4 linked regions of the Schizosaccharomyces pombe genome follow. The protein of the gene in region 4 interacts with the protein of the main gene of each other region in a pairwise test. Each region holds a gene or a part of one and is shown on either strand. Other genes may lie near its edges. The genes, in order: prp40, ypp1, noc1 and abo2.

Evidence for each region.
Region 1: the proteins of abo2 (region 4) and prp40 interact in a two-hybrid assay, tested with the Schizosaccharomyces pombe proteins (one large-scale study listed by BioGRID).
Region 2: the proteins of abo2 (region 4) and ypp1 interact in a two-hybrid assay, tested with the Schizosaccharomyces pombe proteins (one large-scale study listed by BioGRID).
Region 3: the proteins of abo2 (region 4) and noc1 interact in a two-hybrid assay, tested with the Schizosaccharomyces pombe proteins (one large-scale study listed by BioGRID).

What each region holds. Positions count from the first base shown.
Region 1 is NC_003424.3:5,373,444-5,381,065, reverse strand, and holds prp40 (U1 snRNP-associated protein Prp40), read right to left. Parts: upstream 5,500-7,622; 5' UTR 5,455-5,499; coding exon 3,367-5,454; 3' UTR 3,304-3,366; downstream 1-3,303. Other genes in the region: CHD family chromatin remodeller Hrp3, read right to left, coding at 1-2,390, 2,448-2,639; GTPase Fet5, read left to right, coding at 6,074-6,739, 6,785-6,949; protein new13, read left to right, coding at 7,430-7,622.
Region 2 is NC_003424.3:4,540,710-4,547,446, reverse strand, and holds ypp1 (cargo transport protein Ypp1), read right to left. Parts: upstream 3,612-6,737; 5' UTR 3,374-3,611; coding exon 3,365-3,373; intron 3,326-3,364; coding exon 3,214-3,325; intron 3,158-3,213; coding exon 690-3,157; 3' UTR 501-689; downstream 1-500. Other genes in the region: vma2 (V-type ATPase V1 subunit B), read left to right, coding at 1-367; SPOM_SPAC637.03 (uncharacterized protein), read right to left, coding at 4,084-4,893. UniProt on the Schizosaccharomyces pombe protein: Involved in endocytosis.
Region 3 is NC_003424.3:4,844,398-4,852,490, forward strand, and holds noc1 (ribosome biogenesis protein Noc1), read right to left. Parts: upstream 5,136-8,093; 5' UTR 4,983-5,135; coding exon 2,400-4,982; 3' UTR 2,222-2,399; downstream 1-2,221. Other genes in the region: protein mug126, read left to right, coding at 458-1,427, 1,466-1,666, 1,707-1,732; mannan polymerase complex subunit Mnn9, read right to left, coding at 5,911-6,924.
Region 4 is NC_003423.3:1,436,757-1,445,987, forward strand, and holds abo2 (ATPase histone chaperone), read right to left. Parts: upstream 5,966-9,231; 5' UTR 5,817-5,965; coding exon 2,211-5,816; 3' UTR 2,079-2,210; downstream 1-2,078. Other genes in the region: actinomyosin ring linker protein Sbg1, read left to right, coding at 1-67; SPOM_SPBP22H7.04 (uncharacterized protein), read left to right, coding at 1,311-2,078; nrk1 (nicotinamide riboside kinase), read left to right, coding at 7,809-7,840, 7,895-7,919, 8,022-8,090, 8,265-8,631, 8,718-8,917. UniProt on the Schizosaccharomyces pombe protein: Probable ATPase which may play a role in nucleosome organization.

The sequences.
Region 1 (7,622 bases), on a different chromosome or scaffold from region 4:
CTAAGCTCTTCAGCAGAAAATTTATCATTTTTGGAATTCTTTTGCTTGTCTGTAACACCTAATGAAATAATTGCATATTCAAGAATCATTTTACGACGTGCACGTTCCAAGACATCTTCTTCAATCGTATCTTTGGAAAGAAGCCTGTATACCATAACATGATTTTTCTGACCAATGCGATGCGCACGTGCCATAGCTTGTAAATCAGCTTGAGGGTTCCAATCGGAATCAAAAATAATAACTGTATCAGCAGTCATTAAATTAATACCTAATCCTCCAGCTCGTGTGGATAATAAAAACACAAAATCTGGGCTGTTTGGTGCATTAAAATGATCTATTGAAGTTCTTCGTACAGCAGCAGGGACAGTGCCATCCAGTCTCTGATGTGGATATCCCCTCAAAGAAAGATAATCACCAAGAATGTCAAGCATACGAACCATTTGACTAAAAATTAAAACGCGGTGGCCGTCTCGACGAAGACGTGATAGAAGTTTGTCAAGTAACACCATTTTCCCGCTGTTCATAATTAAACCTTTTAAGACTTCATCTCGTCTTCCTTGAGAGTTTATTTTTTGCATCCATGACTCTTCTACTCCGTCAAATAAGTAAGGATGATTACTTGCCTTTTTCAACTCCACAACTATGTTTAGTAAAGATATTTGACTTCCCGAACTTATGCTTTGAGTAAGGACACGGTAATTGCGAGTTAAAATATTTTTGTACCAGTACATTTGTAAGTCAGAAAGCTCAACACGAAGGATACGTTCAGACTTAGAAGGAAGAGATTTCTCAACGTCTTTCTTTAATCTTCGTAAAATGTAGGGTTGTAAATGCTCCTGTAAACTTCTAATATAAGCTTCCTGCTCCTCATCTGGTGCTTCTAAATTAATTTCCTCACGAATCTCAAACTTTCCTGGCATCAGGAAGTCTACCAAAGCCGCAAGCTCACGAATATTATTTTGTAATGGTGTTCCAGTTATAAGTAATCGATTTGAGTTCTTGAACTGAGAAAGTGCTTCATAAAGTGACGATTCACTGTTTTTTAATCGATGAGCTTCGTCAATTGCCATATATTGCCATTTTATATTACTAAGCACCGAGCGATCTTTGAGTACATACTCATAAGTAGTTAGAAGCAAGTTGAACTTTATTTTCTGAGTTCCATCAACATAAAATTCGTAATCCCTTATTACTTGCCTTGAGGTGGTATTTCCAAGGTAACTTATACAATTCATATCAGAAGCCCAAAGAGCTAATGTCTCTTGCCAGGCAGGAACTGTAGAAAGTGGAACAACTACAAGAAAAGGTCCATGCTGTCTTAAAGAATGTGCAAGATATGAAAGAAAAGCCACAGTTTGGACTGTCTTACCGAGACCCATTTCATCGGCCAAAATCCCATTTTCATTTTTATGCCAAAGATATGCCATCCAGTTGACGCCTGTAAGCTGAAAGTCACGAAGCTCACCACCGGTTATATACGAAGGCTGTTGCTCCAGTTTTCGATACTTAGGACGCGAATTACCATAGTTTGTACCTCTTGATGGACTAAGAGCACTTTCTTCTCTTTCTTGAAATGCCTGAATTTCCGTGGCAGCAATAGGCTCAATAATTGAGGAAGCTTCCCATGTGCAAAAATCATATAACAGCTGCTTCCATTTCACTAAGTATTCAACTGAGCCATCGGAGTTTAAGTGTTTGGCAACAATTCTGTCTACCTGCTTATATTCCTCGTAATTTTCACGCTTTCTCTCTTTTTCAATATCCATTGCTTCAATGTCTTCACGCGTAGTGGTCGGATCTTCTCGAATTTCTCGATCAAGAAGTATGACTTGCTTAATGTGATTGTCGACCTTTTTAGATCCTCTGATCATAGAAATGTTATTGTAAGGTTCCCATGTACAATGAAGATGAGAAAAATTAACCCATTTAATTAAAAACTCATAATCTTCAGAAGGTGTAGAGCCATCGTGTCCTTCAATAAGTCTATGATCTAAAACGACATCTATAGCTCGTGTATCTTCAGGTTCTTCAGAAACTTCAGTTGCGTACTCATACATCTCTTCTTCCTCTTCTTCTTCAAACGATTCAAAATACGCGTCTTCGTTATAGTTAACACCTTTACTATTTCTAGAAGAAAATCGAATTTCATCTTGAACGTAGGTGTTTGATTTTTTTTGCCGAGATCGCTTTTTGGGAGTTCCGCCATAAGAACTATCATCTGACTCACTTTCCTCAGAGGTGACAGATTCAGCTTCATCGTCTAAATCGCGAATTGTTCGATGACGAGAAAAAGATGAACCATTTCTAGTACCTTTACGATGCTTGGATGGGAACACATCTTCTTGATCATCAGTGTCTACATATCTTCCTGGATTACTACGAGTGCGACCCTATAATGATTAGCATCTAAGTAAGTTTCATAATGAATAAAATAATGTGAGACATACAGAACGTCGAAGACCGTAAAGCTCTGGGTCGAGCCATTCAGTAGATTGTAATTTGCGCTTGGAGGCTACGCCGCTATTCGAAGGGGATTCGGACATTTCCTGCTTAAGATTAGGGGTTTCAGTTTGAACGTGATCCAGCTGCTCAATAGCCTTAGATGATGACAAAGCAAGTGCTATAGCACTTGTACTCATATCAACTAAAACAGAAGTTAGAACCAATTTCGCAAATTTCTTATTGCAAAACTTTTCCGAAATTGAAATGCTGAATAATTGTGAAATATGTAATAGGCTTCCATCCAACTTCTAGTTAACTGAGAACTGCCAGATGCCACTTTAAATGTGAATATTTATAACTCTTGACTAACGACTATATTTAGACGAGATCCGAACAGATTTAAATAAAGAACACATATTAACTCCCGTATCTTTTCGATAGGAAGCACTATATCGTTCATTTTCGAAGAAAGAGCAATTTTGAATAAAAGGTCGAATGCCACCAAAAAGATTGTATCACAAGAGAAACAAGCAAAACATAATAAGAAAGAAGGTTTTTAAAAAAAGAGAGCTACATTCAGTGCATTGAACAATGTAGGTTTAACAAAAAAATGCGACACGTGGATCATTCACATATTCAGCGTCAAATTCGGAAAACGAACTGTGGCTGCAACAAAATTTAATAAAAATTTACTTACGCGTTATTAAATAGAACGCTTATAGCAGTATTTTGCTATTTTAATAGCAACTTGCTAGTTTTGTTACAAAAACAATTTTTGAGGTACTGGTGGTAGAGGTTCAAATAGCTACAGGCTGTATCCGCTACTAAAGGTAATCAAACTGTATGAATACAAAAAGCGAGTTGAGAGAACATTAAAATGCATGTGTATTAAACGCACTAACAATTAAATTTCTAACTTGAATACTAACGAATTTCACCTTCTTCACTAGATTCTGCATCATCAACAATATTTTTAACAGCCGGTTGTGTAGCGGTAACATGAGAGATTGAATTTTCCTGTACATCCTGCATCGTATTAATTTCATTCCTATTACTTTTTGACGCTAAGTCAGCAGAATATTCCAACCTTCCATCTTCGTATCCGCTATGTGGTCGGGCACTATTCGCTAAATAACTTTCATCTTTACCGACATCATAATAACCTCTTCTGTTTTGGTATTGCTTTTCCAATTCCCGTTTTTCTCGAAGCCGTCTTATATATTTGTCAAAAGCAGCCATCCTGTGTTCCTCGGAATGGAGCGCAGCAAATTCCGGTAGAATAGAAATTAAAGGTCTAATTTCATCGTAAGAAGCATCGGCAGAAATTGGAGGTTTAAGGTATTTAATGGCACTTCTGAGATTATCAATTTTCCTTCGAATGCGTCGTTCATCAGCACGCTTTTCCTCAGCTTTTTTGTGGATCGCTTTATCACGTAATCGATTAACAACTTCTTCAATAAGGTCTTCAGTTACTGCCTCACTTTCCTCTCGATCTTTAAGCTTTTCTGATAACCTTGCTATAATTTCAGGAATATTAGATGTGTCATCCACAGATATTTGCAATACTTCAAGACAGTCCAAAACCAAATTACGCTTTTCCCGATACATATTCTCCAAATCAACGATCGTATCCCAAAATAAATCTAATGGTGTAGAGCCAGATTGCCCTAGTAAGTTAAGATATCTTGGATCATCCTTGATTATGGGATATAATTCTTTCCACTTCGTGCGTAATGTAATCTTCTTTTGCACGCGTAAGTCTTGTAATAGCGCACGAAAGGCATCACGATTTTTCCTTTCTATACGATGCTTTTCTTTCTTCTGCTTTTGTTTGTCAAGAATATATTCGCGTTCCAAATGCTTAACATGATCTTCAAATGCTACAAGAGCATCTAATTTAGAAAGATATTTCATATTTGAATTCCTTGTATACCTTGGATCTTGATCAAATTTTGCTTGCGCAACGCTCCAGCGGGTGTAAGGCTCGAAATTCATGTTTCGCAAAAGCGAACAAAAATCATCCAATGCTTCCTTTCTGCGATCCTTTTCCAACTGCTTTTCATCCTCTAAAAGCTTTTGCTTATATTCAAAAAATAGTTGTTGTTGTTCAGTTTCAGAAGAAGTAGCGTTAAAAGCAGGATGAGAAGAAAATTCATTCTTCACAGTACGCCACAAAGTATAAGAATGAATTTTATCACTACTTTTTAGCATCTCAATAAACTCCTTCCTAATCTTAGTTACTCGGTTCTTTTCTGCATCACTTTGATCGGTCAAATAGTTTAAGATGTACGCATCGAAAGCACATTTCCGATGCCAAGGATCCTTCATGACATAATAGCCCTTAGCATCACAAAGCTCTCGGACAGTCTGCTCCCAAGTCCAGCTTGGGTTGACATTATGAGAGTCTAAAAATTTAAAGAAAGCGCGCTCTGCGGCTTCATAGGTATCATAGTTTTCGTGCTGATAATCATTAGAACGTTTTTGGCGCTTATCCTTTTGTTGAACAAAGTTTATAGTTCGTTTATGACTGCCTTGTGAAATTTGTTGGCTTTGATCTTTAGCTGGTTGACTTGAAGGAGCAGCAACATCCGGACCATGCCGTTGAATGCTTTGAACAGCTGGCTTGTTGTCATTGCTTTTGATTTTAGACGACAAAGCCTTTTTTTGCTGTTCCGGTTCATCAACAAGGGCAGCTTTATATTCATCAGGAATATCCCACACTGATTCACGGGTATTGACATTATACCAATACTTTTTGCCATCAGCGGTGGCATATTCTTTCCAAGCTAGTTTCGAAAGCTTTTTTTCAAAGTCATTCATTAACTCCTCTGGTTTTTCCCAAACACTTTTGCGCGTTACTGAGTTGTAGTAATAAACTCGAGAATCTTCTGTCTTCACTTCATGCCAGTCAGAGGCCACAGTCTTGGAAGGAGCTGCTGACGGCCCTTCCTGATTAGACGTGAATCCCTCAGTTTCATCGTACTCTGAAGTTTGCCATGGAGGTGCAGACATCTTCACATTTATGAATAACTCCCCTTAAAATTGGGGTTGTGGTTTAAGCCAGCGTGTAGAGTTACACTCACTGTTCACTACAAACGGGTGTGGTGGTCGAGTCTATATGTGGGGGACTCGTTGTTTCACTGTATTATCAACTACGTAATATCTAATTGATAATAGAGATACGTTAGACTGTGGTCAGTTTAGAATACATTTACTATATTGTTGTAAACAGGTCTTGAGAATAACAGACTTCAAAGTGAGTTAATTTACAAGCGATGCTATAGCCGTTGCTAAACAACTTATGACTGAGTTGAAATATGGAGTGAGTTAAGCTGTATCAAGAGAAATTAAACTAATTTTATACAAGAAGTAGAAAAAGCTATATTGACATCGTACTTATATTAGGGGGTATTCAAAAAAATGAATGTTTTTAGTGACGTTTAACGTAAATTCTGCAAGACTTAAAGATTTAAACAGAGCGTGTTATTCACAGTTAAAGTATTTGTTGTTAAAAGTCAGTAAAATACTTAGGGCATCGCATGGCGAGTTATAAGGGTGCATACGGGCACAGGTAAGAAGGCATAGGATAAAAGAACACGACGTTTCAAAAGACGTTAGTCTTTTTAGAAAAATGGTTAAGGTGGCAGCTTTTGTTTGTGGTGTTGCCAGCAGTGGTAAAAGTACGTTTTGTGGAGCATTAATGTCTTATATGAAAAGCGTTGGACGTTCTTGCCATTTAGTTAATTTAGATCCTGCTGCAGAAAACTTCGAATGGGAACCAACTGTTGATATTAGAGACTTAATATCCATTGATGATGTTATGGAAGAGCTGGACTACGGCCCTAATGGTGGGTTAATTTATTGTTTCGAATTTTTGATGGAAAACTTAGATTGGTTAAATGAAGAAATTGGCGATTACGACGAAGACTATTTAATTTTCGATATGCCTGGACAAATTGAATTGTATACTCACGTACCAATTTTACCAGCATTAATTCGCCATCTTCAAGTAACCCTAAACTTTCGTCCTTGTGCTGTCTACCTGTTAGAAAGCCAATTTCTCGTTGACCGTACAAAGTTCTTTGCGGGTGTTTTAAGCGCAATGAGCGCAATGGTTATGATGGAAGTCCCGCATATTAACTTATTGAGCAAAATGGATTTACTCAAAGACAACAATAACATTACAAAAGCGGAATTAAAAAGGTTTCTCAATACAGATCCACTCTTGCTCACAGGTGAAATTAACGAAACAACAAACCCAAAGTTTCACGAACTTAATCGGTGCATTGTTCAACTGGTAAGTCACAGAATCATAATTCCTCGAGCTTCTGCTAATGACTAGATTGATGACTTTAATATGGTCAATTTCCTTCCTCTTGAGAGCGGAAACGAGGAAAGCGTAAGCAGAGTACTTAGTTATATTGACGATGCTACCCAATGGTACGAAGATCAGGAACCAAAAGATCCTGATCGGTTTGAAGCAGATGATTTAGAAGACGATGAATAGGGAGATACACGTATAGAAGGGTAAAAATTTTGGAACCGGTGCATAGATTCTTATGATGTTAATGAAAGTCGAAGAGTTTCAACGTTTGCGAATTTTATTTATAAATAGTTTGTAATTTGACACATCTCATTTGTAAAGTTTTAGCATAGTAGTTTGAAGAAAACAATTAGATATTTTTTTGTTTAAATATAAATAAAATGTTTTGTAGGAACTTGAATGCATTTACTGATTATACAATTGATGAGTACAACAATGGTTTTAAATCCGGTTCCAACAAAGTACACAGTACCAACAGCACTATGTGAAAAATGGTTTAAATAAGAAATGGCTATTCATTAACTAATCATGTACAAACAATGTAATCAAAAAGCTTTGCTAAAATTCGGCATAGAATTCTTTAAAATTGTTTACCGAGAATTTCCGTACGTAAAATGAAGTGAGTGACATGCAAAGTCATCAGCCAAAGCCAAATAATCAATTATGGGACAAGTACTATCAATATGTAGTTCCAAGTCAAAGGAAAAAAAAGTGGTGAATGAAAAACCAACTGTAAAACCAAAGCCTGCAGTGAACGTTCAAAAACCAGCAAAAGCCATTACGAAAGCTAGCTCACCTCCGCGTACGGGCAGAAAACTAGCGGAAACCGGTAATACATCAAATAAAGAGCATTTAT
Region 2 (6,737 bases), on a different chromosome or scaffold from region 4:
TGCCATTGGTGAAGGAATGACTAGAAATGATCATGGTGATGTTTCTAACCAGCTGTATGCAATGTATGCCATCGGTCGTGATGCTGCTTCCATGAAATCAGTAGTTGGCGAGGAAGCCCTTTCTCAAGAAGATCGCCTTGCTCTTGAATTTTTGGGTAAATTTGAAAAGACTTTCATTAGTCAAGGTGCTTACGAGAATCGTACTATTTTTGAAACACTGGATTTGGCTTGGTCCCTCCTTCGCATCTTCCCTCGTGAGATGTTAACTCGTATTCCTAAGAAGATTTTGGATCAATATTATTCAAGATCCTCTGCCTATACTGAATCTTCCAAAGATGTTATAGACAACACTCCTGAAAGCTCTTAGTTTTTTGACGCTGCAAATACAGACCAAATAATCGCTAATTTTGAAATGTCCTTGAATCGTTATTTTCGGTGCAATTATCTAATGCTATTTGTTTGTTGGTGATTTGGAAAGAAGACTGTTATAGATACTGATTCAAGGTGCAATTGCTTCGTTATTAATTTAACACAATGTCATAAATAACATTTATCTATTTATGTCTATTATGTGAGTTCATATTGAAGTTACAATCACTACAAAGGAAACATATAAATTACTATTGAAAGTGCCTTAAAGTTTGTAAATTCAATTTATAAATAATAAAAGTCCAAAAAATGTAGACAGTTTAAACGTTCATAAACCTAGGCTGCAAGTTACTCCATCGGCGTACAGGGTTTGTATCAGCTAGCTGGATGCAATAATCATACGAAAACGCAGCTTGTTTTAAATCACCGAGTTGACGAAATATTTCTGCAGTATAATACCAAGCTTCTGGTAGATCCCAGCCATACTGCAAAGTACAGCTCGATAAAATAGCATCTGCTCTATTTCTACGAGAATGCATAGGCCCATAGCCACCTTGTAAAAGACACTTTGCAAGGGCCGTCGAAATTAAGGGATCCTCCGGGTCTAAATAATGAGCAACGTCAAGTTGCTCATACCCTTCAACTTCTTTTCCCTGTTGTAGTAAAGATAAACCATTTAAATAGTACACCCAAGCACATTCATGGTCTATTTTTTTAGCTTCTAGTAAAGCGCTTCGTGCTTGATCATCATTTCCACTTTTAAGGAAAAGAGATGCAGCGGTAAGCCAAAGCTTCTGATTGAGATATGATACGGTTTTACCACGACGTAACTGAAAATTTTCTTTATAGGAAGAGTGGGATTTTTTGCTTAAAACAGTAGATCTCTTAAGCGATGATTTCCTGGAAAACCCAAGAATACTTCCTTTTTCATTTTCCACATCTTTAGAGATTTTCTTGGATGATTTAATGGATTGAATAGTCGATCGTTCTAAAAGCGTTGATAATTCATCTGACGATCCTTCCTTTGATATCCTGTACTCATTCAAATCAAAAATACTAGCAAATAATGTAAATATTTCATCCTGGATATCCAGAGTAGCTTCTACGCCTTTTTCGGCTTCAAAAAGAGCTAGTTTCGTAATCAATAAATCGACCAAAGCGCAGCGGTCATTAAATGTCAAATTTGTCAAACTAATCTCAATAGTGCCATCTTCATTGACATGATTAATGCCCCAAGTTTCAAATACACTATCGATCAGCTTAATTCCTGCTGCGTATTGTTCAGAACAAGACACACACAAAACCAAAAGATGCCAAGATACAATACTGTACTTAGGGTTCACCTCAAGAAGTCGCCGAACAATTTGCATTGCATCAGTAATGGCACGTCTCTCCGAATATTGCATAGCCAAATGGAAAAGTGCATTTGTATTGGTTGGTTGCTTTTCTAGACATTTCTGGTAAGATTGGACGCTCTTCTGGTGATATCTTTCCCTTAACGAAGGGTTGTTAGCTTGATAATACATGAAAGAATAAGCAACTCCTTCTGTATGATAAATTAAAGGAGCAATATCGTCACGTTTCAGTAAATCATAATCAGAAGCAATTTTTGTAATATAATCAAGTATTTCAGAAACTTTTTTCAAATTACGAAGATATTGCGCATAAACGGTCATCATAACGGAGCATACTTCAATAATACTTTTCGGTTCATCAACAAACACTGGTTTGATATCAGAAAAAGAGCCAGCGACATCTGAATTTTTTCTTGCTAACCGTTCGTGAGATTTTACGCATAGAAACTTGTAAATTTCAAAAGCCTCGCTAGCTTCTTCAAATTCCTCAATATGCCTTAAAAAAAATACCAAAGAACGAAAAATTTGTTGTGCTTGGAAGCATTTTCCAGTAAGCTGATAAAGCATTCGAATCAAGCTGACAGTGATATCGTAAGATTTCTCTGTGTTTATCCATATTGATGTTGCAAGTTCAATAAATTCAACGGCGAACATGTTTTGATCACCAGCTTTAGGAAAAGAGGTAAAGTTACATAACAAAGACCCATAATCGAGGACAAGTTGAGGCCAATTTAAATAAAGATTTTTAACCGGACTTTTAGTAAAAATTTTTGATCCATTTGTATTAGTTCTTAAAATATGTTCCAAATATTTAATAGCTTGTCTGCTGGTAACTAGTTTATAAAGCAAATTCACGGACTTATGCTCGGTAAAATAGCTCAAGCATGTAGTAAGTATATTAGCTCTTTCTAATTGACTCGAACAAGCGCTTACAGACATTTGAGCATACAATGAATATGCAAGATCGCACCATCTTGTAAGTTCCGGTAAAGGCTTCTTGCCAATATTGGCATTTTGAATTAAGCCAATGGCCGAACGAACGTATTGATATGCAACTTCATCGTTAGCTTGAGCATATTGAGCTAGCGATGATAGCACTGTTGCTTGTAGGATGCATATACCAGTGGAAGTTTCAGTCCACGGAATTCCTTGAGGAGACCAATCTAAATCTACGGCTTCGGGAAATTTACGCTGTACAATGTATAATAACAAGCGTATGGATGTCTCCTGAAGCTTCTCATCTTCTGTGGCATTTTGAATGTTCAATGAGTTTAATTGACTTAGAAGAGGGTCGGTACGAGCACTGGGTAAAGCCGGAATTAGGGAATACTGATTATCTATTAATTTAGGCTCCAAAACGTTTGCAATATTTTTTAGTTCAGCAGTTAATGCTGATTTAAGAGAAGCTTCAATTTTTGCTAATTCACAAACGACTAAAAAAAGGTTAGTCTAGATGACAAGTGGAAAACTTTGACTGTAAATCACTCACAGGACTTTGAAGAGTTATGCTTATGCAATTTTCTAGCAACCTCAGGAATTGCCTGCCAATCTCCATTACATCTTGTTTGTTCTAGTTTTAGTTCATAGGTTTTTGCTTTAGCCTATATCAGTCAGTATGAAAACTCATAGTTTAGACGTACGGAAAACATGAATTTTTTTATAACTTGGTATTTGTATATATAAAGAGAAAAAAAAGGTCAAACGCAGTAGTTGGAACGTAAAATTCGTTTATAGAACTTTGAACGCAAACTTTAAATAAATTGATATATATTTACAGTAACAAGAAAAACGAAGGAATTGTAAAAAGAAAAGGTTTAAAGAAGGTATTTAACGCCTCAAGAATACCAAGATGAAGGAATTTTGATGGTTCGATATATGGAGTAGGCCAAGGTTGAATGGAGGTGCGTAACCGTCGGCATGAGAAAGTAATTGAGATATTGAGCTAAGTAAAGAAAAAGTAGTGTATACCAAGTTTTTTGCTTTAAGGGTTCTTTAATAAATACATGAAGCAAATAAGATTAAATAATTAGCGTACAAGTTAGCCAGAGTACGAATAGTTGAATATGATGACACTTTCGTGATCCATATAAGAATAAGCTGGATGTCTTCGTCAATGAAGTGCTTGTAAAGTTAGCACACGAAGCAACTTTATACTAAGAAGGGTGCTATTAACCATGATGAAGTTGATCGTCAAAACTATGCTTTAATCTGCTATCCACCTGAATTTTGAGTCGAAAGATTTATGGGAGAAAAATTAAATTTTTATACTAAAGTTAAGTGTAACATAATACAATTAAGCAAATTCATTATCATACTATTTAGTAGAACGGAGCAACAACATGCAGAAGACTACAAGAGTTTAAACTGCGGGTCCCGCGTTGTTGTCCTGAAGCAAAGGAGCACTCTCGCCTGTTAAAGCAGCGCGTCTCTGTCTGTAGGGAAGGAGGAAGAGAAGAGCAGCGAAAAGGGTCATGAGACCAGCAATGATAAAGGCGAAAATGTGTTGCAAGGCAAAGAGGTGAATAAACATTTGTCCAATACCGATTGAAAGGAAAAGGTATGCGCTGACGAGGGAAAGAGCCCAGTCATGGAATCCTAAAATAGGAACAAGATACATGGCGGCAAAGAACCAGATAAACACATTAGAAAAGACGCGGCAACCAATGCCGGTGCAGTGTAAAGCGGCAGAGAAGGCATAAACAACGAACCAAAGAGACTTGCCAAAAACAAGTTTCGAGGGCAACTTCATGCTAATCATCTCAACAAAACCATTTCTCAAGCGAAGCGATTGGCCGTACATGGTGAAAGAAGATGAGAATAGACACAAGGAAAAGAATGCAGTCCAGTACAGCTTCTCACGGGTAAATGCCCAGACGGTAAACACGACAAATACATTGTACCAGATAGATGTGTGAATAATGGAGAAGGTAAAATCGTTTACCTGATCACCAAGCATTAAAAGGGGCACAATCATCAAAAGGAAAGACAAGTATTCGACCAAGAGGTAGCCACCAAGCATGAACTTGTTGGCGAAAAATGGAGTGGCATGGTGATTGTAAACCCATTCAAGAGATGGTTTGGTAAACAAATGAGCCAAAAGGGTAGCAAAGCTTACACCCAAGGCTAAGACGAGCCCAATAATGTATTTTGACTCACGAGTAATTTGCATATTGAACAATTAAGTAGTAGGCGAAAGAATAAGAAGAAACTAGCGGTAATATTAATAGTACGAATTGGAAGAAGAAGAAAAAATTAAATTACAGGTCTTCTTTCCCGGAGATAGTAAAAGTAGCGAAGCGGCAATTTTCAACCACTTTTGGAATTTGGTTTGTTTGTGTTTTTTTAGATATTAACTAGGTTCCGGCAATACGCAAGGAATTGACGATAAACTAAGCAACAGCCTATGAAAGTCAAACTTTTTAAATTGAATAAAATCGTTGGTAAATACGACTTAAAAAAATTGAATTCTTCTGCAACAATTCCTCGTAACAAACAGTAGCAAAATCCTAAGCTTTTCTTTAAAAGCTAAACCAAGTGTTTGAAGTGGATTAAAAGTAAATTGTGTTAGAAAGCAACGTTATACGCAAACTTGCAAATATGTATGGGAGAGGGAAGGTCATAAAAGTGCGAGAGATTTAATATATATAGGCAGACTATTTAAATTTAGCAGACTGCAGAAACTGCCCAACCCATGCCTCCTTCCATCATCATATTCCTTCGTAATGCTTACGCAACGATGCCTTGGCATCAGCTGAAACCATGTATCATGGAGTAACATGTTACGTATATCGATGGGAATGTCAATAAGGCGTAAAATGAAAATTCCAAAGGCGCTGATTTCAAAGAAATTACCATTTGCTCGCGCTGAGAAATTATTTATGAGCTTTTTATAAAATCAACTGTTTTGGAAGATACAAATTTATGCGATGCCTTTTAACCCGGTTTTCAAAGCCGAATTGAAGCGACCACAAAGGCCATAAGAATGTTGCGAATTGAAAGTATTTAGGAATTGGTAGACATACATTGGAGAGTGTTCTAGTTTATCAATCGCATTTCTTTTTTGTAAAGCATTTATTATTGGAGTCCAACTAAACCGTTTGCTTAAAATAGCTTGGCTTGGTATGGCATAGCAAGGCAAATTAATGACAATCGCAATTCAGTTCGATACAGGGCATTGAAGATAGAAGCAAAAAAAACACAATTCTTGAAAGTTTTGGATGAGTATCCGTTCATCCAAATGATAGACTTTCTCGGGTTGTTGGATGAGGATCTCCTTTAGCCGTGGATTGTTCTGTATCTTTTCCGTATAAGAAAACCACAAGTGACACATTTAAAGGGTAAACTTAGAGTCTTCGATATATTTTTCTGACTGAAGAAATGCTAGAATTCATCTATAAGAATTCGACTTTTTTCTGTCAGACACCAACGTTGCAATGATCATATCAAATGCAGACCACCCGTTAGATATTATAGGAATAAACCTGCCCGTGTATTATTAGCCGAACAGTTAAACTGCTTGATTGCTTACTTATCGAATTTTTCATCTAACTTATATTCTGATTCATTTATATTAAATTTTATTAACGCTGATTTATTTATTTCTTTCAGCACACTCCTTTGAGCAAAATAATGAACTTCAAAAAAAATCAGACTTAGGCAATATGTTTTCCCGAATTGCCGCTGTCAAATATTATAGAAGTCCTCGCTCTTACACTACTTACATTGTCATGATTTTAAAATTGTATTCTAATTTTTCCTCTTCTTCCTGTGATACTTACCCTATTATGTTGCGCTTGTCTAAATATATGTAAGCGAAAACCCCATCTTATCTTCTCAATTAAACAAATTTCGTGTTAAAGGTTGTGCTTTTACGGACACGATTAATTATTTTCATTACAAACAGTTTTCAAATTCTGCATTGACTGGGAAACTGGTTTTTATTGTTTTTTCTATGTTTACCGAGCAGCACATTCCGACACCCTCGTTCGAAATCTCCTAAAAGCAATGGGGAAC
Region 3 (8,093 bases), on a different chromosome or scaffold from region 4:
TCAGCCCTTTTCGTTTTTAAAAAAAAAAAGGAATTAAATTATGTGGTAGTACTAAAATACCTTGAATTTCGTACTCTGGTTTACCAACGATATAAGGAGTCATAAAGAAACGAGACTTTAATTAATTTTTGTTTTTGCTATTAAATTGCAGATGCCATAAGTCATGATGCTGCGATGTTTTCATCATCAATTGTCAAAATGTTATATATTCTTTACATTCCAAATCACCAAGATTAAAATACTACTTTTTGAAGTTTCAAATTTGTTGGTTACAAGGTGTTTCTATTTTTTTTAGAAATCCAATATAATCGCTTGGCTTTAATTGTACTGCTGCTATTTGTTTTTATTTAGAAGTCTTCATTTTTCGGTTCCCCAATTATAAATTATCTGACTGTTGAAAACAGATTTACTGCTTCAATATTAACAATAATTAATAAGATAGAGATAAGTTGAAGAAATGGGAGAAATGCTTAACGAGAATACATCATCAACATCATTGTCGTCTTTTTACGTTTTGGAAAATGAAACCATTTTCAACGTGCAAGAAGAAATGGAGGAAGATGGTTCAGAATCTGGAAATATTCAGAAGACCTTACTAGAGGATCCGTGTCCGGAAAATGTCAATGACGAAAATGAAGATGAACAGAATAGATCTTCTAGATCGTCAAGTCCACTTGTGAAGCATGAACAGAGACATAGAATGTATAACTTGAAGGAAGTAATCAAATCATTCATTCTTACAAAGTCAAAAGAAAAACCATGCGACCTGGAGATGGGAATTGATTCAATTGAAATGGGAAGAATGCAAAGCTTTGAAAGTGATCAACAGGAATCTCACACTGGTCAAGCGAACTTTCCAACTGACCAGGAGGATCCTCGAAATCCTCAATTAGACTCTCAATATGAAGCTTTCATTACTCAAGGGGAATCACAAACGGACAAAAAGAAAACTTCGACAGTTCAAGAGGAGGAGCTTCAGAATGCTGGGAAAAAATTGGAGACTGTTCAAGAAAACCCTCAAGCTTATTCAAAGGTCACCCAACAGGAGCCACAGGCTGGTCAAAAAGCTGTACCCCAGGAACCACAAGCTAATCAACAGGAGACTTCGAGCAATCAAGAGGAATCATCATTTGATCGACAGGAAACTCAAGATGACAAGCAAAAACCGAAGACTACTCAACAGGAACATTATAATCTTCGAAATAGAAATCAGGCGACAATCACAAACAGCAACTCAAAACCTCAGACACGCCGTTCAAAAATATTTGTCATTTCCTTACTTGGATACGGAGTCTACTTGCTAGCCTTTCTTGATTTAATTGAATATGTTTCAAAGGAATACGGGTTTGAAGCAACAGTTTCGGCACAAATCTTCCTGTGGTGTTTGTTTGGAGTTTTGATGATTGCCAGAGGGCTAATCTACCTAGGTAAGTTAAACACCATAATATCAATACTAATTTTTTAGCATTGTTTCGAAATTTTTTAAATATTTTAAAACGAATGGCGATATATTGCGGCGCATGTTTTTGGGTTTACGCCTGTATCTTCTTTTTGACAAGGGTATTCTGTTTTCTAATAGACACACCCTACCCGCAATTCGAAAAAATACCGCTGGAAATTTATTCGATTTTTGCTGCTATAAATGTTTACATTATTGAGCTAGGGGGTAAGTTTTCAAATCGTGCTAAATTTAATAACTTGTGTAGCAATATATTGCACTTCAGGGCGTTAAGTGCTTATTCGTTAAATTTAACTGCAGATCATCATCATTCTGAAATTTTACATGTTTCACAACTTTTAAAATGACCAAAATATTCGCAAAAAGCTCTGTTAATTTGATGATGTTATTGTTAACAACTTTCATTTTTTATCTCTTTTTTATTATAAATCGTTGCTGGTCTGACGGATGTGATTGCATTTTCGTTTCTTTAGAGTAACACAAGCAAATAATACATTCATTTTCTCAGACAAATTGAAACAAAACAGCTAACATTCTCCCAAAAATTCTTTAGTAGTGTAAAGTAACTATTAAATCAAAGAGCGCTTAGTTTATATAAGAATTAATTTTTCTGTTTATTCAATTGATAAGGGGAATTGAAATTACGGTCATCTTAAAACATAGAGTATATTACTTTCTATACTAGAAAATCATAGTCTTTTGTAAATAGTAATGATAAAATTCAATCCTTACTATAAATCCAATACAAAGCCGGTATAGGGATAAAAAAAATTTTTTTTTAACAAATTAATTCTAATCTAAAAAAACTATACCCGAAATATGCAAATCCCAATTAAAATATCCATTATCGCCCCCTAACCAACGGAAAAAGGAATATAATAAACCTTCGAAGTTATACGAAATAACCAAATGTTGAATTACAATACTTAAGCAGCAAAAATCAATTTTCGAGTAAATGAGCATACGACTCAGCATCAGCAAATACAGGTAAATCTTTAATTGCTTTTCTCTTTTTCTTTTTATGAGAATGGGTCTCGGAATGATCAACGGTTTGTATTTCTTCCTCATCGTCAGTTTCATTGAACGGAAGCAAATCATTTTCATCTTCAAAAAAATCAACAGTATCATCAAACTCATCTTCAGAGTGTGCAATCTCCGAAAGATTTTCCTCGTCTGAAAACATGGGTTTTTCTTCGGAAGCCATTGACTCATTGTCATTCTCATCTGCAGACTGTTCACTATCACTACCCATATCGGTCATTGCTTTATCCATCTCTTCAGAATCAAAGTCACTTTCCTCTTCATCCATTTCCAATTGTGGTTTGGAATCAACAAGAGCTTTCCAAACTTCATCCTCGTCAATTTCACCCTCTTCATCCCTATCCACCTTTGTCTTTCTAGCCTGCTTTCCCTTGATATATTTATCATTGAAAAAGCGATAAAAGAAAAGCTCATCAACAGGAATCTCCTCTTGTTTCTTTGAAGTGAACTGCTCAGAGTTCATTGGAACACCACTGTACGTAGAACCAGGAACATAACCTTTGCTCAGGCCTCCAGCTAATGGTTGCATAATTGAATGACCACGAGCAGCAGCAGACTTCTTCGGGTTTCTATATGCAAATTTGTCAAGAAAGTGGTTCAACGTATGAAGCGACAAATTAGGTTTACCCAATATTTTTTCACCATAAACAAGGCTCTTGGCTAGGAGTGAAACGGTTGGGTGGAAATGGTTCAAAAAAGGGTGAATTTCCCAAAGACATGAGCCATCTGCGTTACTGTATTGAGGGTCTCTCTTTCTACCGTCATAAGAGAGATGCTCTTTTTTGGTTGAAACACTAACATTGCCTACAACATAGGCAGAATGAGATTGCTTATCACTTAATTTCCCGTCTTTATCTGAATCTACCTTTTGATCTTCGGAAACGTCATCTTCTTCAACATCCTTAAAGACCTCTTCCTCATCTCCATCAAAGTCATGGATTTCAGCATTTGTAAACATAGAACGCAATGCTGTCGTGGCGATAACAAGTTGGTGCATCACATGAAATAATCCAGTGACTAAAGGAGGTTGCTGCCACGCTGAGACCTGAACCATTCTTTTTATAAATGCTCGAACACGTGGAATGTTGTTGTCTATAATAAGTGACTTATAAAGTAAATTCAGATAAAGAGACTGTTTCGACGACGTTGTTAGACGTGGGTCAAGTAATGATTCGTAAAGGCTTTTATAATAACGGTCCGAAATGAAATCACGGCTAGCAGATGCTTGAAAAATTAGCATTAAAACTTGAACTGACGTATTAAAAGAAGCAGTATGGGTGATGGCAAATAGGGTATTCATGTGCTTGTCAAATTTTTCAGAATTCACTTCTGCAAAGGGATAAGCACGGTTGACGCCTGTCAATACCGCTGATATCACGCGTGAATTAACGTTTTCTTCAGCCTCTTTCCTTAAATCTTCATCCTTCTTTCGTTTTTGTGACTTTTTGTTTTTTGAATCTGACTGCAGAGACTTTTTTTCCAAAGTAGGAGCATCAGCAACCTCTTCCTTCTCTAAAGCAAACAAGAGTTTAGTAAAAAAAACAAAATATATTTCTATTAATAAATTAGCAACGTCGACTTGTTTATGAGTCAAAACAGTTTGATTCAACGTTATCAATGTGTAGTAACAACTGGTACGGCTTGTAGAAGGTGCAAAGATGAATCTTTCAATTTCCTTAGTAATCACAAGCTTCATTGCAGGATGACTAGCTTCGAGCTGGAGAATTGAATAAGAAGCTTTAGAGGCAATTTTATTCTCCTTATCACCGAGTTTATTAATCAACAACTTGAGCAAATTTTGTTCTTGTTCAGGTTTAGCCTTCAATAAGTCATAGATAGTAGAAACCATTTGACTTTTTACAAATAGAAGTGCGTCAAAAGACAAAGCTTCAATGATTTGAATGTATTTAAAATAAAATGACTTCAAAAAACTTTCAAAAGCCCATACCATAAGATGTTTGTCTGTAACGTTTTTAGACCCCAAACAAGATTGCTGTTTCATATACTTTAACTTTCTGTCTGGAAGAAGTCCTCCGATAAAAAGGTCTTTGAGAGTGGTAATAGCTTGAGTAGCTTCGTTACGAGATTTTTTGGAACAAATAGAAAGCAAAGTTTCCAATGCCTTAACTGCATGTATGGGAGATTCCTGAACAAGTAAGGTGAGTGCGGAAATACGATCACTGGTGGTACCAGAACTAATGAGAGTTTGTAACATCCGTTTGTCAGCTGTTCCATGTCCCAGAGTTTCTGAAAACCTTTCTGAGTCTTCTTTCAAAAGCAATAATCCACGCGTCTCTAATTCAGAGACATGATCTACGTTTACAAACTTTTTATCCTCATGCAATTCTGGCAAAGGAATATTATACCATGGAACTCCGGGATCAAACATGACCCCCTGAGGTTTAGTATCAATTGTACCTTCTCCTTCTTCATTAAAAATAATCTTCTGCCCTCGTTTTGGTTTGGGGTACAACGTTGCCATCTCGCGAATTTTTTTTTTGCTTTGTTCTCCTTCCTTAAATGATAAACCAGTCTTCTAGGAATTCAACAAAAATAAAAGGGTAATGTTTTATAACAGTCAGAAGATCAAAAGGGCCTTATTTGTAACAATTATTAAAATTAATTTTAGAGGGGTGAATACTGGCAGAAGTCAATAGCGACACTAACCAGTCCTTCAGAACAAAATAACGTACGCTAATGTTATACGCTAAACAAGGAAAGCATTCAAATTTTGAAAATACTTTTTGGGATATTGTTTTTGTACTAGAACATATTATAAAAATTTAAAGTGGCTACATTTGTAAAAGTAATACTCAATTTTGTACTACATTAAAACCATACAAAAAATCCAGCTACCATATTCATACAGTGACTTGACTACTGCAAAATAAATTAACAATTGTCAGCATAATAGATGTTTTATAAGAATAAAATATAGACCAGATTATCATGCAATTGGCGAAATTTTTGCAACGAATGTTAATGAATTAGTGTTCACCAGTCAATGAGCTGCAACTCTGGGTTAATGAGTTACGAATGGCCGATATGCCATAAAGGAAAATTTCAAATGCAAGTATTAATGAGAGAGAAAAAAAAGAAAGACATGCCAGTTACAGCATTTTCGCATTTTAAGGCAGAAACAGCTCCAGCAAACAAGACAGAGAAAAGACTTCTAACGCAGTAGAATCCTAAGAAGATTCCTAATTAACACATTTATGGTTGTCTACACATAAGCGAGCATGATTAGATAATGCAAAGCTTAACTCCTCGTGGTTGCTTACTTTACAAGTACAAAGGATTTTTTTCTTTTCTTTAAATAAACGATTTAGCCAATATGGGTTAAACGGCATGAACGTTCACAATGCATGCAAAGCACATGCAAATGAAAAAAGCAATCCTAATCCATCCCCCTACTCATTATGATGGAACACTAAATAATAGGGTAATCCATAAACTCCATGACCTAAACGCTTAGCCATCTTTGCAAAGCCCTCACTTTCAATAAGGTGGTAAAAAGGGAAGGTTGGGAATAATGCGCCATCCCTATGAACACTTGCCTTCACCAGTAAAGCAGTGGTGCCTACACCGTCAAGAGCCATAATTGTAGATGGATCTTTGTGCTCCTCATAAATTTTAGCCATCAACATTCGATAAGTAGGCAATTCAGCATATCCTTCAAGCAAAATCTCATCCCTGTCCATGTGACTTGCAAGCTCCTGCGCGGTTTGAGAATCGACCCAACTATTGAAGTCATAAGGAGTTAGTTTATCGCCTTGCTTTTGGAAACAATTAGCTACCAACACGTCTTCATTGTGTTCCGCCAAATCTTGGATTAACGTGGAGGGAGTTTCTACAATGTCAGAATCAAGCCACAAAACCCAAGAGGTACTAGGTTTTAGAGTGCTTAACAGCAATGTATTTCTGGTAGCAGCTAACTTTCCCCGACGCTCCTTCTGGGCAGAAAATTTATGCCGTTCGGCCTCTGATTGCCCTGAAGAAAGATCAGAGTCTTGGATTAAAATTTTAACATCGGCAAAACGCTTATCGCCTGGACCTTTCTGAACAGCATTGATAGCATTCCGAAGTTCACGATGAACTTTTGCACCGTCCTTTGACGAAGGAACAATAAACCCTAAAGAAATTAAATTCCTCGGATAGTCAAGCTCAAGAAGATTTTTCCAATACTGTGGATAAAATCGAGCAATAGGAGTTAAGATTAACACCTCCTCTTTGTTACGAATGGGATCGGAAGATTCCGTAATTTTGTTCATATCGTATATTTCGTAAGAATTCCCCCCACGGTTTTCAATCTGAACTTTGGCATTTGAATTGACAGATGGAGTAAATAGGTAATAGATGAAAGTAATACCGAGGGCCACAAAAAGGAGCTGCCCTACAATTCTAGATTTATTGTACACGCGCATCTTAAAGTTTATAAATAAAAATGGAAGGGCACAATTTAATAAGAGTAATAAAAATAGAGAGTTAAAAATTAAAATCAACCCGAATCTGGATGTTGTTTTGTGGGTCTAAACAGAATCGAGTTCTTAAATAATTATGCGAATTCCTTAAAAAAGCAACGGCTAACAGCTGTAGTCGCGAAAGTAACACCTTATATATATAAATGTATTTCAACTAGTGAATACCCCGTTAATAAATACTTAAGATAATTTAAGCATTAATACAAACAAAGGATTATGTCGTACGTTCACGAATCAAGCTTGTACAGGTTTTGCCCCTATCGAGTAAAAACAAAGCCAAAGAAAGAAGTATTAAAAACGCTTTTTCGAGTAAAAGAAACTGTTTTTAAAATAAAAAATTTCCTCCAATAAACCCAGAATTTGAGTGTTTTCTTATATATTGGTTCGATTCCGCCGCCAGAGAACGCCTTTGTCCAGTATAATGTGTGGCTCTGGTTACGTCGAAAAGGAGGTGAATACCAGTTACCTTGATCCCATCTGTATTCATAACAACTAGAATTAATAGCGTAGTCACGCAAGATTTCGTTATTAAATTCAATTATAGATATTTCGATTTCTTAATATAAGACACGTACTTCTATATTGTGTTGATTAACGTCTTTTCACATTAATTTTTGACATATTATATTCATAGTTTTAACGACGACATACTGGGATTGCTTGCGTACCTTTACTGGAGTTATTCTTTCTCTGATACCAGCCACACAACACCGCGTTAAGTCATTCCGTGCTTTGATAGCAAGAAGAGCTGAAATAGCTAGAAGGAAAACAAAACAATGATTGACTATTAAATGCCTTTATTCAATTGAGTTTTAGAGCTTATACTGCAATTCGGAGACTGTAAACGCTGTTATAAAGACTAATATAATCGTTATTTAATTAGTAAAAATGATCCTATTATGTTAAATTTTTTTTTAACATTTTATTATTTATAATAAGTTCAAATTTATCTTAAAAGTCCTTTAAGATCAAAAATATACGGTAAACAAGCTTCTAATGTTTTAGTTTGATCTTACTTTTTCGTAGGAAAAGAAATATAGATATTTGTTTCTGAATCATCTATTAGCATGAAAATGTTGGCCAGGCAATAATTTCTAACTGTGTTTTATGTC
Region 4 (9,231 bases):
AATGCTTTTCATCGGGTATCCTATTTTATCAGCTGTTGAAGTAGAAAAGCAAAGGAAGAAAAACTGAGTATTTTTGATTTCATTTACTTTCAATAAGAACTTGTTGAAGGATTTTTCTCGTATCTATTTTCTCATTCCTTTGATGATTTCTTCTTTCTATTGCATTTCCATTTTTTTGAGCTTCTTATATCCTTGTGGTAGTACCACGAATTCTTGGACTTTCTTTTATTCACTACTTTCTCTTCCGTATGCTCTTTTTGCATTAGTATTACAGATTCTAATATTTCGTCTAACCGACTGCCTTCAACTAGTTGTGCTTGACCTTTTGCCTATTTCTTTGATAATGTCTATTATTTTTCTTACACATCATTCTTTTCCAGTTCCTCGCATCTTCCTCAAGCCCTTCTTATTTCGTTAAAGTTCAATCTCTAAATCTTTCATTTATTGGATTTATTCATCGTTTACTGCATCATAAATAATATTTGGTTTCTATTTCGCAAATACGAGTCATTTAACTAATGACCTATCATGGTTAGACTAACTCAAATTATAGGTAATGAATCAGTTAGTAAATATGCCTTCAGTACATCGGCTACGTGTGCCCATTCAAGCATTCTTTAAAAAAAAAAGAGCATTGTGTGTCTATATGCTTGGATGAGTAAGCTCCGTTCTCAGCACTTATATCATGAATAAAGGACTTATGCTATTCTGCTTTTGTCTTACACTTTCCACGTAGTCCGTAAAGTGTTAATTGTATTAAAAGTATGTAGCAAGGTTACACGGTTTCCGTTTCATTTGTGTATGAAAACAATAGACGAGGAGTGGTTGAAGTAAATGGCATCTTTAATTTTTTGTAACATTAATTACTTCTTGCATTTTAACGATTCGGAAAGCCGAAATATATTATTTTGTTCATGATGAACTAAAAGTCAGCTTTCAACAATGCCAGTACATATTTTATAAAAATAAAGCAGCGCTTGAATAGATCAAAAAAATTTTTACACCCGGCTTGTTAAAACGTCTGACTATTCAGCCGTATAATTGACATTTACATTTCTTTTTTCAGCATTTTCCATGCTGCTGCCTTCATCGTGGTTGAGTGCGTTATTTTTTTAAATATTCTCATTGGGATTCTCTATTTGGTAATATCAAACGGACAATAATCCACTAAGTATTATTCGAATGCGTAAAACATTTGCTAAAATGTTTACACGTATTTACATTCAATTCTTCACCCTTGAATTTACACGGGTAATTTAATTAATTAAAGGGTTAAGCTGATCAATTGAACATTTTCATGTTGCGAAGTTATGAGTATGCTAATCTTTAATATACGTGTTGCTAGGCATAAGGCGTTGTTGTCTCGAATTGTTTCAACAAATATGTTCAATCCTATGTTTAGGTCATTGCGTCCAATTCAGAAGTCTTTCTCGGAAATATCAATATTGAGAGTGTTTAATAAGCCGCCCATCAAAAAATTCCATAACTCTAACATACTGAAAGATATTACCTCAAAACGGAATGCAACCCCAGCGAAAATTGCTTGGCAAGCAATGACAACTCGGGAGCCTTTTCTTGTATATCAAGCAAAAGCAGATAAGAAAATCAGTCTTATTTATTTATTAACTGTCGGGATGCTTATAAATGTCTGTGTGATTACTTCTTTTGCCAGTGTTGACATATATCGCGCAAAAGATGAGATATTTGCCAATTGGGTCGATATGGATTATTACGAGAAATTATCTTATATTGGATCTGCTTTTATTACTCCTGCTCTTTACTTTACTTTAACGTTGATTTTATTTTTACCAAGACGAAATATTTATTCAATTTCTACCTTACCATCCCAACGGTTTGAAATTGTAACTGGATTTTTATCACCATTTAACAAGCTTTATTTTTCTAAATCATTAATTGTTCCAAGAAAAGACGTATCAATCGTTACTTACTCCCTACAGAAAAACCCAATCACTCTGAAAATTCGCGATCGTCCATTTTACTATCTTTTAAATGCAAATGGAAAATATGCTGGTAATTCAAAGGACGTACTATTCTGTGTCATCGGAAACCGATATTAGCTTTTCAATTTCAAATGTATCTTCTTTCGTGGTTCCTATCTTTTATTGTGAGCTTTCATTCATTACCAACTATCATTTAGATTTGTTGTATCTCACTAACAGATCGCTTAGACACATTAACCCAAAATTTCATTAAACACCCATATCCTCAAGCGACCGAAAGAAAGTTTGTCTTACATCCCGAACTATCTTAAGAAGATCATGCTCCTCACGATTTTCCCAAATAGTGGATGACAATTTGGAATAAACAAAATCTAGTAGTTCCACCTTATTAAAATTGGTATGTTCAGCAAATTCCTCTGCACATTTTGCCAAGGTTTTTTGAATATTTACGTTATCGTATTTTTTGTTCTCTTCTTTGTGTTCAACACCAGTCCTGCTAGGTGGAGTGACAGCAATCAAATTGTTATGAGTAAGTGATTGTCCATGAAATAAAGTATGTTTATGTTCATCATTAGAAACGTTGCGAACCTCATTTGACGAAAGCTCAATGAAATTGTCTTCTTGTGCAACATCGTTTCTCACAAATGTTTCTTCATTCTTTGATTCTTGCATCTCATGAGCATCCTTTGCATTGTTCAGTTTTTTTTGTTTTAGTTGTTTATATGCCTTTTCCCTCTTGGAGACTTGACAACAATCATACAACAGCTTTGCATCAATCAACTCATCAACATTTAATTCGGCATGCGCAAACATTTCTTTGGCTTTGTGTTTGAGGTTCACGTCGCCAGACAGGATCGCATCTTGTTTGATCATTTTGATATCACGCAAAAACTCTTTAGGAGTACAGTAACGTCCACTCCATAAGCGTCTTTCAATTTCCTCAAAGTTCATCATTTTGAAACAAGCATTGTCTTTTTTACGAGTGACTGTATTTCCTGAAAGGAAATACTCAAAATTATCCTTCGATTTTCCTTTTACCACCCTTTCGTTCGACTCATCAATGTAAATGTCATTTAAATCTATTATCGGTTTTTTGAACTTTTTATAACGAGAGCGAAGCATTTCAAGTATTGAGCTAAGTTTAACCTGAATTTTGTTTTTTATTTTCTTGTCGTTCTTTCTTTGTCTTCGGTTTACTTTGTCGGTTAAATCTGATGTTTTAGAAACTGGTAGTACTTTGGGTAAAATATCAACGCTTGCTGCTTCGGCGCTCTTTTGGTGAATGGGAAGGAATGAAATACGTTTAAGCAAGTAATGGAAAAAAGAGTATCTTGATGAATAATCAGGAAACGACAAGTCATGATATTCGCTTCGATGAGAAGGAAACCAGGAGCGGACGGTAGACGACAATTTTTCTTGATTAGTATTAGCAAACCCCAGTAACATGACAGGTTCTAAAGGGGAAATTGAATCTAATAAAAGAAGGAACATTGACAAAAAGCTATGTGAAAATAGAGATGGCCATTTTTCTACGTTATTGATAAATATAATACTTGGCGCATTTTTTCGGGCTTCAGAGAATATCTTGGTTAACAAAGACCTCGGAGATGTGGTTGTGTCCATTAACAACTCAGAAATATCCAAAGACTGCACGTGGATACCATCTAACATAGAGAAAAGCACTTTGCTTAAATAAGTACATCCATATCCATAAATATCAGTAATCAATAGTCTTGGGCGGAATGACATGGTAGTTTTTAGAGAGTTAATTTCTTTTTGCCTCATCAACTCTTCAGCAGGAAGTTTTTGTAAAGACTCGACCGTTGGTAAATATACGTCAAGTTTTAATAGTCGTCTAATTTTTGACGTTATAACCTCAATACTTTTCTTAAACAGAATTTTGTGGGAATCCGTAATAGGTATATTCGGCTTAACATCACTTCTTCGTGTAGAAACAGCAATCTTCTCAGATGCGACTACAAAATCGCAAATGCTAACGGATATTTCATTCAGGTCAATTAAAAATTTGTCAGAAGATGTGTAAATTTGGGGGAAGGTGCGTCGAACTGCATTAAGGGCTGCTTCGGTGCATAAAGCTTTTAAATCTGCTCCACCATAACCAGACGTAGATTCCGCTAAGTGTAATAAGTAGCTCTCTGGTATTTTTGGAGAAAAATGTAAAGAATTGATTTCAAGAATTTTCATACGTGCTTGCTTATTTGGTAGAGGGAAGTAGAATTCGCGATCAAATCTACCGGGTCTCCTTAAGGCCGGGTCAAGATCGTTGGGACGATTAGTAGCACCAATTACTACTACTTGTCCACGCGTATCGAGGCCATCCATTAAAGCAAGCAAGGTGGAGACAATGGAACTGTGAGTTTGCTCTTGTTTTGAAGATCGAATAGGAGCAAGCCCATCTATTTCATCAAAGAATATGATGCTGGGTTGTACTCTTCTAGCTTCTTCGAATAAAAGCCTAAGTTGCCTTTCTGCTTCGCCAACCCATTTGCTTAAACAATCAGACCCTTTTCTCAAGAAGAAACTAATTTTTTGATTTTTGGTCGAGCAGTTAGCGGCCAACACCCTAGCCATTAGTGTTTTTCCAGTCCCTGGAGGACCATGAAACAAGACACCTCTAGGAGGTGTGATGTGCAGATGTAAGAATACTTCTGGATATAACAAAGGAAGCATCACCATTTCTTTCAGTTGAAGTATAATATCTTCCAGTCCTCCTATGGAATTGAAATCAAGATTTTCCCTATTGGCAAAAGGGTCAGTACTTCTAATCGTCTTTTCGTCTATGTGACCAAAGTGAAGTTGAGAGGAGGGAGCATTCTCAATATCTGAACTAGCGCCCAAATTATTGTAAGCATTAAGTCCTTCAACGTCGGAAGTTTGCTCTGAACTTGTACTGCTCAACTCACTCGTTTCATCACTATCGCAAGTACTTTGATAACCGATGGGAAGAGTAGCAAAATCTTTCATAGGCAATTTTGGCGGATTATAAGTAATCTTCGTTGTTGAAGGATTTGGGGAAGATGCAATTTCGTTGTAATAGTCAAATAAATGATAATTCGGTCGATTGTCACGACTACGAAGTTTGCGTCGGAAATCTGGTGAATTTCGCTCAGCGCGAAGAGGACTCATTGCCTTCTTGACCCTTAAATTTTTTTTAACTGGCAAAATTGGACCTCTCATTTTTCTTTTTCTACGTCCTCTTCTACTTGGAATGGGTGAGCGCACTTTTGTCAAATCATCAGGGCTATCCGCGAAGTCAGAATCACTGGCGTTCGAAGACTCAGGATCACTTTGTCCATCTACGTAGTCTTCATCTAAATAATCACCATTTGTTGATTCTGTTGGAGCTTTTGGATACGAAAAGGTTTTTGAAGAAGTAAGATATGATTTCGGACTTATCAAATCGTCTTCTTCATCCTTAAAGGTAGTGGATTCGTCCTCATTATTATCAGTGTCTAGCTCTTTATCATTTCCTTCCATTTGAAGGTTACTACTTCCATTTCTGATACCATCAATTTGATGTTCAGTACTCTTCTTTCCCAATGATGCATCATTGAATGCCGCAGAAGGCTTTGAAGGATTTTCTATAGAAACAGAAAAAGAAGGCGTTTCTGTGTTTAGATGTTTCTGTAACGAAGAGAATTTTCTATTTCTTTGAGTTTCACGCACTGAAACTAACTTTTGTTTATAGGAGGAAGGATCAAAATGTGAAACTTTTATATGATTTGAATGATCCTCTGATTTTTCGCTGTGTGCGTTGGAGTAATAATCATCATCTTCTTCATTATCTTCATTATCGTCAGAACTAAAACGAATGGATCTGGCCCTTCTGCGCATTGCACGCAAAATGCACTGCTGGCACCAACAAATTAAGACGTTGTCAACTTGGTTAAGACAATTTGTTATGTAGATTTTTTATTTACAATTGCACAATTAAAGGCTCCAAAAAATTTGGGATATCTTAGGTTTTCCACATGCTGGTTTACGAATGGAAGGTTTGTAAGGAAAAGTAAATAAATGAAGTTCGTAACAATGCGTTATAAGAAAAGGAAAGCACATAGTAGAGTAAGTGGATTTTTGGACTAAACAACAGAAGTAGTATCTTTACAAAAACAATATTGTTTAAAAATTGACTTTTCTGAGATTATTTGTCCACGATCAGTTTAGTACATTGGTAATATCCATACATTGATGCATTGTTTACAGACATGTGGATAGATTTGAAATTCTATGAGGATAAAAGTTCATTGCCAACTTCGAATCTTGAGCTTCACTTGACGTTCCTCACTGATATAGTATTTTTTTTTATTTAATTGATTGTCAGTGTTTCGTCGTTTCGCTGTTAATTGAAAGGATGAGAAGAATTTATGCAAAGAGTATTATTTTATAATCTCTTTGAAAACTTACTATTCATAATCCGTAGTTTTACGTCTCATATTAGATTGATATAATGAACAAAGGTAGAGATCGGTACGGCTTTTTTTATTTTTTTATTAAACCAAAAGGTCTTTTAATTTCCTAATTACATTGGCATTCAATACAGATCCATTGAAATTCGATCAATATTGATTTCATTTTTAAAATAGTGTCCTTAAATTTCCTTAATGTTTGAATTCAGTATTTATTATTATTACTAATTCTATTGTTTCATCCAATTTACATGCAATTTATAGCTTTATTATATTTTATTTATTTTTTTATTTTTTTTTTGGAAAAGCAATTGAAGCTAGTCAAATTGGAAAACTGAAGCCAAACACCTAGTGTTAAAAAATTTTATATTTACTAAGTGTAGTACTACAAAAATCGTTTAACAAGGCCTCAAGAAACTCAACCAATATACATATATTTTTTAAATTCATCGAAATATTCGCATTTCATGGAGTTGATAAAAACTTTGCTACCGTAGAACTAAGTAAGTGTAATGTAAACAATAAGCAAAAGACATTAAAACGACTTAAAAAATGAAAATAGCAAACTAATATTATTCAGACATAGTTTATCACAAATTTGAAAGGAAAAAGCAATAATTAATAAAATAATTTTCGCAAAACAATTAAAGAATTCCAATTTCCTACATACTTTGGCTAAATAAATAAAAAAAGTGAACCACTTTTTTTTATCTAATCAAAAAATATATATATTTTAAACAAAAATTGTATTTTTTACTCTTATTATCTACCCTATCTTTTCGTAAAGGATACATGACGGGAGCGGATTAGTATATTGCTATCATCCAAAGCCTTGTATTATTGACTGATTATACTACTAACCATATCTTCATACTACCAACTCCAGCCTTCCTCCTATTTCACTCTTGTTTTAAACGATCAATAACTCAAAACACCATTAATCTTTACCGGGCATATTTGCCATATAAAAATTCTTATACGTATTCGAAAGCGTTAATATTTGGTGAATTTAAATTATCTTTCAAATCCTCCATTTATACCGTAAAGAATTTGTATACTCCTTTCTTTTTCCATTTTCTTATACTTGCGAAATCGTTATAAGTGATCTTTTACTTGTTCTTGTATATCTAAAAGTTTTGTTGGTTGTTATAAAATTTTGTGGATTCGGCTTCTTTACCACATATCTTTTTAAAATTCTCGTTTATTTCCATAACAAATAATCATCGAGCTTGATTTAAGATACTAGGCGCTTTGTTTAAATCCAAATTCTTTTTAAAATTCGGTTAACCTGTCTTACAGCTTTTGGCTGGTAATTAATTAATTGTGTTGTGCAAATATAACAGACCGAATTCCAGTATCCAGCTTCTGTCCAGGCTTCTTGTCTCAATTTTTACCTTCATTTTTCCATATTATCATTAGAATGACTCGGAAAACTATCATTGTTGGGGTTAGGTAAGTTCTACAGGCAATTGTTTTAATGAATTTTTATTAACAAGAAAAAATTAGTGGTGCCTCTTGTAGTGGAAAATCGGTATGATAATTTTGATTAATAAGAAAGAATAAAATAAAATCAAAAACTCCAAAATAAAAAAAAAATGAAGTACTAACCAATTTCTCTTTCTTGTTTTGACAGACTCTATGCCAGCTTTTACATGCCATTTTTGAAGGATCTTCTCTCGTTCATGAAGATGATTTTTACAAGGTTCGTTTAGATTATTTCGTCTATTTGCCTAGTCGTGCGAATTTTGCAAGTGTCATAGAATAAATCGTACCCTCGTTTTAAAAACCGATGGTTGAATCTTATCGATGAAGCAAACACTGTGTTTTTATGTAGTGCCAAAGCACCTATTGATATACTAACTCGTTTGTTTTGTAGACTGATGCTGAGATACCAGTCAAAAACGGCATTGCCGATTGGGATTGCCAAGAGTCGTTGAATTTAGACGCTTTCCTTGAAAATTTGCATTATATCCGTGATCATGGCGTGTTACCTACTCACCTTCGAAATAGGGAAAATAAAAATGTTGCTCCTGAAGCCCTAATAGAATACGCTGATATAATTAAAGAATTCAAGGCACCGGCCATTCCAACTTTGGAACAGCATCTCGTTTTCGTAGACGGATTTATGATGTACGTTAATGAAGACCTTATAAACGCATTTGATATTCGACTGATGCTGGTGACCGATTTTGATACGCTTAAGCGTCGTAGAGAAGCCCGTACTGGTTATATAACGTTGGAAGGTAAGAATTCAACTATCCAGATAAAACATAACACCTGTGTTTAATCGTTGTACCTTTCAGTTAAGGCTAACTCCAAATTGTTCCAGGATTTTGGCAAGACCCCCCACATTATTTCGAAAATTATGTTTGGCCTGGCTATGTACATGGTCATTCCCATTTGTTTGTCAATGGCGATGTGACAGGGAAATTGCTTGATAAGCGTATACAGTTAAGCCCTTCTAGTAAAATGTCTGTGAGAGATAACGTCCAATGGGCCATTAATTCAATTTTGAATGCTTTACAATGATCCGTTTTGATCTATCTTTTCTTCGACTTGTATTTTCTGAGTACTACCTGACTTATACACAAATCCTCTCTACCGCTTCTTTTTTTTCTTTTTAGACAAGACTACCTGTGCATGATTTACTTTTTAAATTCAGGGTTAATTAATTACTTTCCATCATTTCCTCCTCTCCATATATTTATTGCTACTATCGCTTTTAGAACATCATGTTATTAATAATCCGTAACTAGACCGTTTAATAAATGTATATATATTACAAACTTTTATTACTTGATAACCATCCCTTTTTTTATTTTGACAATTCATTTGTAAGCTAC